2 linked regions of the Drosophila melanogaster genome follow. The protein of the gene in region 2 purifies or fractionates together with the protein of the main gene of each other region. This does not show direct contact. Each region holds a gene or a part of one and is shown on either strand. Other genes may lie near its edges.

Region 1 (6,350 bases), on a different chromosome or scaffold from region 2:
TGCTGATCTAAAAAATCCCAACCATAATAAGGGCACACACGGATTGCGATCAAAACCCGACTTCTTTGGAGCTGATAAAAAACTAACCATCTATCTGAAGTTAACCTGAACTTTTATAGTTTGCGTCGAGGGATCATACTTTTGACATACTTTGCTTAATATTAACCCTGTAAAGAAATGATTTGCATTAAATTGCATATCTAAATATATATAAATATATATATAAATATAAATATATTTTTTAACATCCCAAAATAGTTTATCCAATTACTTAAAAAACATATGTACAAAGGCATCTCTTTACTTAAAAGTATTCGCATTGTAGTGTTAAAATCATTTCACATATGAAATAAGATATAGGTGCTGTTGTAGGGTTTTAAATCGAGGACAAATTGAAATCTGATAAAACAAATCGTCAGGCATCATTGCCTTTGGACTTGTTTACCGGCTTACAGATTTTATTCCGAGTAGGCCAACAGTTCGAAAAGGAGTCCCCACAAGGCTGGTCATTCGACAAAATGCAATAGATATGTTTTGTAGTGTTTAATATAAAAAAATACATATAGTAAATCTGGATGACCCAAAGTGTCTAAGCCATCGGGAATTGCATGCCATGGCAAACAGTTTTTGAGTTGTGAACAATGGAAACACAGAGATGTTCGTTGTAGTTCAGGTCTCGAAGCAACTACAAAGAAGATTTAAAACAGTTAACTAAATATTTAAATGAATAAGCATTTATATTTACCTTAGGTGTTACAAATAAATACTGAGCCGAGCCGTGCTTGGTGGCTTCTTTGAGGAGCAAGTCGAATATGTGACGTTCATTTGTAGCGTCCATGCCTTGATTTATTTCATCGACACACCTAGAAATGGAGAACTATAAATCGGGCGTCAGTTTGCAGCTGGGTTCCGCAATCACCTGAATGGCACGTGGGTGACATGTTGCAAGGACAATGAGTATATGGCGATGGACACTGCGCGTTCGCCACCAGATTGAATAAACTTGTCCAGCGGCTGCAGCTGGAGACCTCTCCTGAACTGGACCATTATCTGAATACCATATGAGTCAAAGTCATACTAGAATTAATAAAGTGAAATACATTTGAAGTAAAGTTTTTATGTAGGACAGTTTAAGTTCTCACTTTGTCGGTTTTGGATAACACAACTTCTCCCACGTATTCAATGGACTCCATAAATTCGCTGAACTTGGTACTGATTGTTTCTACCAAGCTATTAAGTTTGGGCTCCCATTTGTCGTATAAATTGGACATGCCAGACTCGATGCTCTTTGCTTGGTTAACAGACTCTTGAATTCCTTCCTCCAGTTGCTTGACTTCATTTTGCAGTCCTTGATAGCTGCTGATGGCCTGCATATTTTAATATGGAAAGTTATTAGATATATCAGCTTCAGTTCACTAATTTAAAAGAGTGTTTTACCTCGGAGTTTACACTTTTCATGCACTCCAATCGTGCCTGAAAGTCATGTATTGCCTCTCGTAGTTCGGGCAAATCTATATTTTCCAGCTCCCTAAATTCCTTCTTAAAAGGAAATTTGCTACTGGTTGGAATTTCTCCGTGGCAAAGGCCCTGAATAGCGCTCTTTCGTTTGTTAACGTCGCTAATTTGATTTTCTAAGCACTGCAGCAACTGTTGGAAGTCTCTCTGCAAGCAAAACATTCCTATAAATAAATTCCTTAAGTGCATTTCGATTTCCTTACGGTTGCTGCTTTACTCTGTTCCTCGCTTTCCTTGAGGGCTTCAATTTGAGTCTCATGTTGCAGCATATAAATGGATACCTTTGTCTGGGCCATATTCTTTTCAATTATAAGTCGGTCAATAGCTTTCAAGCACGAGCACAATTCCGCATCAGCATCGAATATTTTTTTTAAGTCTTTATGCAAACTGTTACAAAAATTGGTTTCAAGACAGTCTAGCGCTGAAAAAACACGGTTCATAATGGCTGAATATTTAGTGCACTAAGAAATACTTACAATCGCTATTGCGCAGGGCTTCCAGCTTCTTTTGGAGCGTTTCAATTTCGGTTTTCAGGCTATTAAAATGGGCTATTTTTTGGTCAAGCTTTCGTCTCTTCTCTTGCTCATCCTTTGCAACAGCTTGCAATCGTTCAAATTCATTGTCGGTCTGGGTTATTGCGTTTTTAATGCTGTCGCTTTCCTTCACTGCTTCGGAGCACTGTTTCATCACCAGGGCCAGTTGTTGTGAGTCCACTGTAATAAGTTGGTTCTTCGCTCGAATGCTACTTTCAGTTAGAATAGTATCCGACCGATAGCGGGATGCGGTCACAACGAACTTCTTGCTGCCTAAAATGCACAGTACGGAATTCAAAATCAGAATTTATACATTTGCGAAGCGAAACCGAATAAGAAAAATATACACACCGCCGAAATAAACTCGGATAGCTTTTGGAATGGATGAAGTGTAATTGCCCACAGCTTCTGTGCCAATTGGTATATTATGAATGGAATAGGAAGCGCACAGCTTGTTTATTAGTGGTATTGGTCCCGTGACAAGATCCACGAGGTATGACCGAAATCCGAAAGAGCTGTAAAAGTATTTAAAACTAGGTATTGGACTAGTATTGGACAATTGACAAGTGCATACCGCAGATCATCGATGGGAGTTTTGGGACTGTACACGAGTCTATCGGATGGTGCGCAGTAAATAACGTTAACTCCCAATTTTTGCTTCACACACAACTCGTTGATCAGGTCCGACATATCCCCCTTGTCCTCACACGCAAATGCAAATAAATCGCGCTGCGCCACAACGTTTTCCAAAAACTTTGCGTCCTCATGATTTTGTACTGTAAGCTATGATAGCGGTTTTAACATTAGGCCATTGGTAATGGCTTCATTTTGAAAAGCTCACCTCAAGTATCATTGGGTCATAAACGTTCAATTTGTACCTTTGCTTATTTTGCGCCAACCAGTTCATGGCCACAACCAAATTCGGATTTTTTGCTCTAATTTCCTAAAATGAAAGGTAGCGTTAAGTTGAGTTTTCATTATTTCAGTAAGAACTTACATCAATCTTTTGCATTTTGACGTTTCTCAACCGCTCTATTTTAAGTTTATACGCAGTAATTTCAGGAATCATTTCATCATTCAGTTTTTGTTCCAGTTGTCTCCGTCTGCTGTACTGCTCCATTGCTTTCCCGCGGGCAGCTGCGCACGATTCCTTAGCCCTTTCAAGTTCCGAAACGATCAGAGGCCTGCTCTTATTTAGGGTTTCAAGCTCGTAAATTTTATTCTCCACCAACTGATTTAGGTTATCACACTCTGTGGCCGTTCTTCGTGATTTTTTAATGTTTTGCTATGTGACAGAATGTAAGATTAAGAGTTATTCACATGATCGATATATGCAACAAGAACACCAACCTCCAGTTCATATTTTTTTTGGTAAATTCCTTGCTTCAAAGAGTCCATTTTACCATCAATAGCCGCCTTCTCCGCTACAGCGTTTTCTAATAAGCGTGTCTAAAAAAACTTATTTTTAAAAAATATATTAAAAAACACTGCCACCCATTACCTTTTCCAATAAGGCCTTTCTGAGTGATTCTTTTTCCTTCTCAATTTGTTCTTGGGATTGAAGAAGTTTGTCATGTTGGTTCTTCAATTTGTCGCTCTGAGTTTTTGCGTTTTTCACTTGAGTTTTCATTTCTGCGGCCTTGGCTTCTCCAGCCTGAGTCTCAACCCACAATTTCTTCGCACTGTACACCTGCAGCTTTTGCTTGACCTCTTCGCGTTCTTTATATTGGGACACAGTCATTTGTAAGCTAATAAAATGATATTAAGACAATTAGGTTTTTAGTAAGAATTAAAATTTTGTACTTCATCCACACATTTGGTTACATTTTACTTAGTGAATAAAAATAAGCTCGGGTAACTATATCTTACTGTTCCAATCGTTTTTGCTTCTTAACCAGATCACTTTTCTCTTTTTCCCGATTAGCATGGACATTCGCCTGTTCTGTGCGCATTTGCTTTAGACTGTTGAAGCTGTTGATCAGGTCTTCGTCACACACGGAGGACATTGTGTTGAGCAAAAGCTCTTGAGGATTCATCTTGGAGAAGTCCTGAAACAGTATGTTTACAATAAATAGGTGTGTAATTTATGAATTGCCAACATAACGACATACCTGAACCCGATCCTGCGGGAGGAACTGACACAAATTGCTGACTTGTATGTTAAAGGAGGATACAGCAGCCAAAAAGTTCTTCTTGGAGGTGTCTTTGTCGTTCACAGAGAAGGTAGACAAGCCATTAGAGTTTATTATGCGCCGAAAGGTTTCCGTGGTGTTGGGCGTGCGTCCATACACCCGGACAATTATGGTGGCCGAGGTTTTGTTGCTCTGTATGTAGTCGGCAACGCTGGCGGAGCGATCAAGGAGAATCGGTTCCCCTCCGAGGCCCAAAATTATGGCCGACACGATGGTGGACTTGCCACTGCCATTGGGACCGGTCAGAACGTTCAGGTAGTGCTTCGGATGGAATGTGATCTCGCTGTAGGATCTGTTGTTGGAAATAATCAAATGAGCCGCGAAATTGTCAATTTGCGCCTTTGATGGAAATAAACCTACACGAAATCTTTGCAGTACACGGAATGTATGCGCCCCGCCAATTGCTTGGAACTTAAGGCACGATCCCCCGCCATGTCGTGGCGTAGGCTTTTATCCGAGCAAATGCTTATTTCAACTTAAGTAAAACGAGTTGTTTTAAATGCAATTCCGCGCTTTCAAGAATTTAGTTTTGCATTAGGGCATATGTGCACGTACCATTGTTGTCGATAACGATTGGTATATTAAGGGTACACTTGTGCGCCGCCCGTATGTATAATCAATTTATGTTTCTTTTATATTTTGAGCTGACAACATAAAAATGATAATTTTAAGCCTCAGAAATCTATTTTCGGAATAAAAACTGACAAGTAAAATGTCAGTAACAAATCGTGGAAACGATAATTACAAATTGATAGAAATAAATAGCAAGGAAAAAAGAAATATATAGAGCTTGAGCTGGGATGCAGCCAGACTGTCACAACAATTAATATCTATTACTTATCTTTCTGACGGGGCCTAAAAAATATCTGAATTTAGCTCCAAAAGGGTTTAGTTGCCAGCATTGGTGTCATCGCTATCGATTTTCTCTCATCTCTATTGGAAATTAATAAACTATTTTGCTTAGACAATACAATTCAAAATGAATGTAGGCAAGATAAGCGTTGTCACCAGACTTCCTGCCCTCCGCTCGTGCGCCCAGTACTCGAGCGCTGCGAAAGCGGAACTGCCGGCTTCCTTGGTCGGCGACGTGGATGTGGAACCAACATATCCCCAGACGGTGGACAGATCCGGCCTGCAACCACAACACAAAAATGTGCTCCTTAACAAATTGCCATACCAGGAACCTCACTCCTGGATTCATTTGACCGAGAAGTACCAGAGACAGGCATTCGGCCGGTATGGGGCCCAGAGCAATGTGAATCCCAAGATTTGCTTCGATTCCCACGGAGAGAAAGACAGCAGGCAGGTTATGCAACTAGAAACACTCCTGAAAATGCTGGAGAAGAACCGCGCGCAGAAGGCAGAGGAGCTGGCAAGGATAAATGCCCGTGAAGAGGACATTGCGAAGAAGATGGAGAAGTTGACACAGTGGAAGGCGGACCTGCACGCGAAGATCGCTAAGCGGGAGGCGGATGCAGCGGCAGCCATACAACGCAAGGAACGCCTGGTAGAGGAGGTGCGCCGACACTTCGGGTTCAAGGTGGATACACGCGACGAACGCTTTAAGGAAATGCTAGAGCAAAAAGAGAAGGAGGACAAGAAGAAGCAGAAGGAGGCCAAGCGAAAGGCCAAGGAGGAGAAGATGATGGCCAAGCTGGTAGAGAAAGCATCAGTGTAATATTTGTAGTATCAAAACCATCGATTTAAGCGAAGAACTGTTGTATGTTACACTAAAATAAAAACACTGCAAAAAGAAGAGCACTTATTATCTGTACTCCCATAAAATATTTTAAAGTGTTGCAAAATATTTTATATTTTTATAAATTAAGACAAGAATTTGCTTAGACTAGTGAAAAGTAAGCCCGATGTTTGTGTAATATATACGTTACACAAGCATTATTTTTAAAAGAGGATCAGTAGCCGAGTCGATCTAGCCATGAAGGAGCTTGCAAGTTGATAATAAGAATGCAAATTCCAAATACGCAGGGGTACTTGAGTATAGGTATCTAATAGGTCACTACACTATTATAATTGCACTGAGAATTTATTAATCAATATTTTTGGTTATACAAATAATACAAAGCTCTAATTGCTATGGCGCACGGACAGG
Region 2 (4,106 bases):
ACCCCTCTTGGGGATCAGATTAATTTTCACAGCAGCCGTTATGCCGACAGGCTTATGGTCCACCCGAACCGACTAGCAAATAGCCTATCTAATCCCATCTCCCTCCGAAGGCTGAAGAGGGTACACCCCACCGATCTCCCTACACCCTTACACAATAAGTAATTAATAACTAGATACATTTTCCCTTTTGTACTTAATAATTAAGAAACCACTTGGTCTAATATACCTTTATACACACATAAGGTTAAGTTCAGAGGAATTGACCGAACGATTCCTTTTGGAACCAAAATAAATAGAATGAAGTTTAAAAAAAAAAAAATATATTGTTATATATATACAAAATTGGAGGGAAAAAGTCTCTTTAAAGACACTTCATGTTCCACCTGTTTCCAATTTATCCTGTTTTATCGACCCTTTAATGATCTCAGAATTCCATGTCTGACTTCTGTCTCAAAAAATAGTAGCCAACAATAAAAAATGAGATTGAGACAAACCTGTTGATATGCGTTGGGACCATTTTATTTATTATATTATATGTATGTTACATTGTTAAATTGCGTTTGGAAAAATGCCTACATAATACTTTGACACTCCTTTCGGTCGTTCTTATATTATTCTAGCCTGAGATGGTTTCATACATCAAAAGTGAAGTCTTTAGTTTTTATAGTTGTATTCAAATATTTTTGGGCGCCACTGATTACATAGGACAACTTAAATAACTAATTTTTTCTGAATCACAAGAACAGACATTATTTGCCGTCTCTAACATAGTTAAGCGTTTTTTTTTAAACTATATTATATTAAGGCTCACAGAGCAAAAAATGTGAAATAGTATAAGCAACTTACAAGTAAATGCGAAAGAATTGACGTGCGGTCAGCTTCTTGTTGCATATTGGGCACTTGTGCGTAGCTCTGATGGCTGTTTCGATGCATTCGCGGCAGAAGACGTGTCCACATTTGGTTGACACTGGCTCGCGCTTCGATACACTGTCCATGCAGATGGGGCACTTGTATAACTCCTCTTTTTGGGACTCATCAATGTCGCGATTAACGCGTTTTGGTGGCGACGCAACGTCGAGATCCACTACCGGGTCATTTTCGGCTGACCGACGTGGCAGAATGGTGAGGGAGTCGTTGGAGTGAAGATTCACTGTGCGACTTCTTGGGCCTTCGGGGGTGCATAGATCGATGAAAGCATCGGGATCACGATTCCGAGCGGATCGAACAGGTGGTGCACGGTCCAAATGGGACAGATCTATCACTTCTACTGGACTCGCTACGGAAAAAGTAAGAAACGGTATTCGGTTTATTGCTAGCTCTATCCGCGAAAGCTATCTGGTTTTCACAAAATTTTAAAAAATATAGATAAATTTTGCCTTCAAAAGTAAGTAACCCGGCAGGGTTATAGAAAGAACTATGTCATTGGTTATTGTGGAATTAAAAACATTGTTCATTGTGAAACCCAGATGCGTTCATTTTGATCTGCACTTACTTCTGCGGCGAATTCTACGAGTTGTTGGCGTTGAGGTTCTCGTGGCGAAGGTGTCAATCTGTGCCACAACTTCCTCGCAGTAGCGATTCACTGAAATATGAAACAATTAACAGAAAACTTCGTAATGATTATGGAGTGACATACTGCGATCCAACTCTGCTTCCATCTGGATCACATCCTGGGTAAGTGATCTGATCTGCGAATGAGCATCTTCAGTCGAGACAGACAAGTTAGCCATATTTAAGGGGTTATTGCTTTGCGGTGACTGCAGTTGGTTTGAAGCTTCTCCGACTGAAGATTCGCTGGTATTGGTGGCTGAAGATGAGTCTGATTCCACAGATAAATCACGCTCCACTGGGGATGGGCGTTCCAAGGACGAATGGGAATCAGCGGATGAATCAGATTCCGCGGATGACTGAGATTCCACGGATGTATTGTGTCCCGAATTGGATTCTATGGATGAATGGGAGTCCACAGAAGAGTCGGATACACTGGAATTGGAGCTCGAACTGGATACGTTGCTGTCCGCTGACTGATCAAGAATGGATGAGTTCTACTAAATAAATCAATCATAAATCGGAATTAACTAGTTTAAAGTCCAGGGTATACTTACAAAACGGAAAATAGTCGAATCTGACATTGTTCGAGCAACAAATGACCAGGAAACTTGTGAAATGATTTCGTAGTAAAGACAAAAGCAGGTGAACCCAGATATACATGTGCTTTAGTGCAGATTGAAATGTGCAAAATAGTTTCCTCCTTTCACGCGACCATTCGGTTATTTTAAAGATGACACTTTACGGACATTCGGGAACAAGGATTTAAGATCGACTATCGATTTTTGCGGTATTATACAATGCTGTTTAGAATGACACTTGTAATTCAATAAAAATCAATAATTTATTAAAAATAAAATTTCCGTTTCGGCGAAATTCTTTGATAACAAAATAATTATAAGAAATGTATATAAATATGTCGACATTACAAAACCATACCATCACTATGTAAACGATATTTTTTAGGCGATTAAATGCCATCGATATATACCGTGCCGTGGTAGTGTTAGAAAATTGCGGGAATTAACGTTAAATGCACGTCACCAAAGCAGAATAATAGAATATTTTCGAAACAAAACAAAGTTGGAGACATGGACAAGGATGCGTTTACATTACAGGCCATACGGCAGGACCTTATCGATAACAATCTGCAGGCTAAGGCAATAATACACGTAAGTCTCCGCTATCTGAAGAGAAACCCTCATTACCGAGCTTCTGTTTTTAGGACATCCTGAACAGCCGCACCTCCATCGCCGAACTCGAGGAGCTGAACGAAGCGGGCCGCTCCAAACTGTCTGCTATCCGCAAAAGCATCGAGCGGCTGGACGACTGGGCGCGGGACACGGCAGACTCTGCGCTGGCCAATGAAGTGGACGACCACCGTGATCAGTTCTCCAAAACGCTGCAGGCGTTCCGAAAAGCAAACGTGTCCACGATGCTGGAGATCGAGAAGGCCAATCGGGAGGAGTTAATGGCCATTACCGGCGAGAGTGAGCTACGCCAACGAACCACAACACGGGCGCGGCACAACCAGGGCAGTCTGGTTTCGCAGGAGAACGACGTGACCGAGAAGATGCTGGCTATATCGCGGCACCTCTCGGAGACCACCCAGAAGAGCGCCATCACCCTGGAAACGCTCGTGGCCTCGTCGCAAAATGTGGAGGCCACCAGCGACGAACTGCACCACACGGCCGGCAGCATTAGCATGTCCGGCAAGCTGCTCAAAAAGTACGGACGACGCGAGTGCACTGACAAAATGCTGCTCTTCTTCGCCTTCTCCTTGTTCCTCGCCTGTGTCTTTTACATCGTCCAAAAGCGACTCTTCTAAGACTCCACAAATGGACAAAACCCGTTCCCAAAATAGCTTAAGGTTGTCGCTTCTGTTGTCTAGGTATAGCTAGATTAAGCTTAGCACATGACCATACCTTGTAAGCACAGCTCCTATATTTATATTATTTAGTGATTTGCCTAAGTTGTAAACGTGGTACAGCCAAAGACCCTAGAATAACAAGATGCGTAACGCCATACGATTTTTTGGCACACGATTTTTTGGCCGTGGCTCTAGAGGTGGCTCCAGGCTCTCTCGAATTTTTGTTAGAGAGCGAGAGAGCGAAGAGCGCTACAGCGAACAGCTCTTTTCAACGCACAAAGTGATAGCAGACATCTGTATGTGTGCACACGTATTCACATGCATTGTAAATTTGACAAAATATGCCCTTCACCTTAGAAGTTCTTTGGCTTTAAATCTATATTATTTTTTATCAATTGGCACCATGCGAAAAATTCTTGTTTTGCATTGCCTTAACGTTATTATTATTTGAAAATAGATTAGAAATAGTCAAATCTATGTACATATTATCACAAAAATAAATTTCAAAAATGAATTTATATAAGAATATTTGTCATTAGAGTATTCATCTTGCGGCGTGTGAAAAATTAATAAGGCAATGATTGTTGAGTGCTTGTGTCCGCACTTCGTGCCTCAAGATATGAACAAAGCAAAGACACTAGAATAATTCTATTGTCTTTGATATTACTTTTGCAATTTAATTTAATTG

Evidence for each region.
Region 1: the proteins of dgrn (region 2) and SMC5 purify together in Drosophila melanogaster (affinity purification with western blotting, with the first as the bait; one study listed by BioGRID). This does not show direct contact.

The regions. Positions count from the first base shown.
Region 1 is NT_037436.4:21,567,703-21,574,052, reverse strand, and holds SMC5 (structural maintenance of chromosomes 5), read right to left. Parts: upstream 4,802-6,350; 5' UTR 4,675-4,801; coding exon 4,601-4,674; intron 4,533-4,600; coding exon 4,160-4,532; intron 4,097-4,159; coding exon 3,918-4,096; intron 3,797-3,917; coding exon 3,550-3,796; intron 3,498-3,549; coding exon 3,399-3,497; intron 3,334-3,398; coding exon 3,046-3,333; intron 2,992-3,045; coding exon 2,890-2,991; intron 2,832-2,889; coding exon 2,623-2,831; intron 2,564-2,622; coding exon 2,400-2,563; intron 2,322-2,399; coding exon 1,992-2,321; intron 1,937-1,991; coding exon 1,719-1,936; intron 1,663-1,718; coding exon 1,438-1,662; intron 1,368-1,437; coding exon 1,143-1,367; intron 1,078-1,142; coding exon 920-1,077; intron 864-919; coding exon 746-863; intron 686-745; coding exon 590-685; 3' UTR 530-589; downstream 1-529. Other genes in the region: CRIF (CR6-interacting factor), read left to right, coding at 5,220-5,918; CG7634 (uncharacterized protein), read right to left, coding at 6,326-6,350.
Region 2 is NT_033777.3:5,822,975-5,827,080, reverse strand, and holds dgrn (degringolade), read right to left. Parts: upstream 2,467-4,106; 5' UTR 2,133-2,466; coding exon 2,106-2,132; intron 2,049-2,105; exon of another isoform or gene 2,046-2,048; coding exon 1,637-2,045; intron 1,583-1,636; coding exon 1,493-1,582; intron 1,277-1,492; coding exon 843-1,276; 3' UTR 505-842; downstream 1-504. Other genes in the region: Sec20 (secretory 20), read left to right, coding at 2,640-2,720, 2,774-3,376.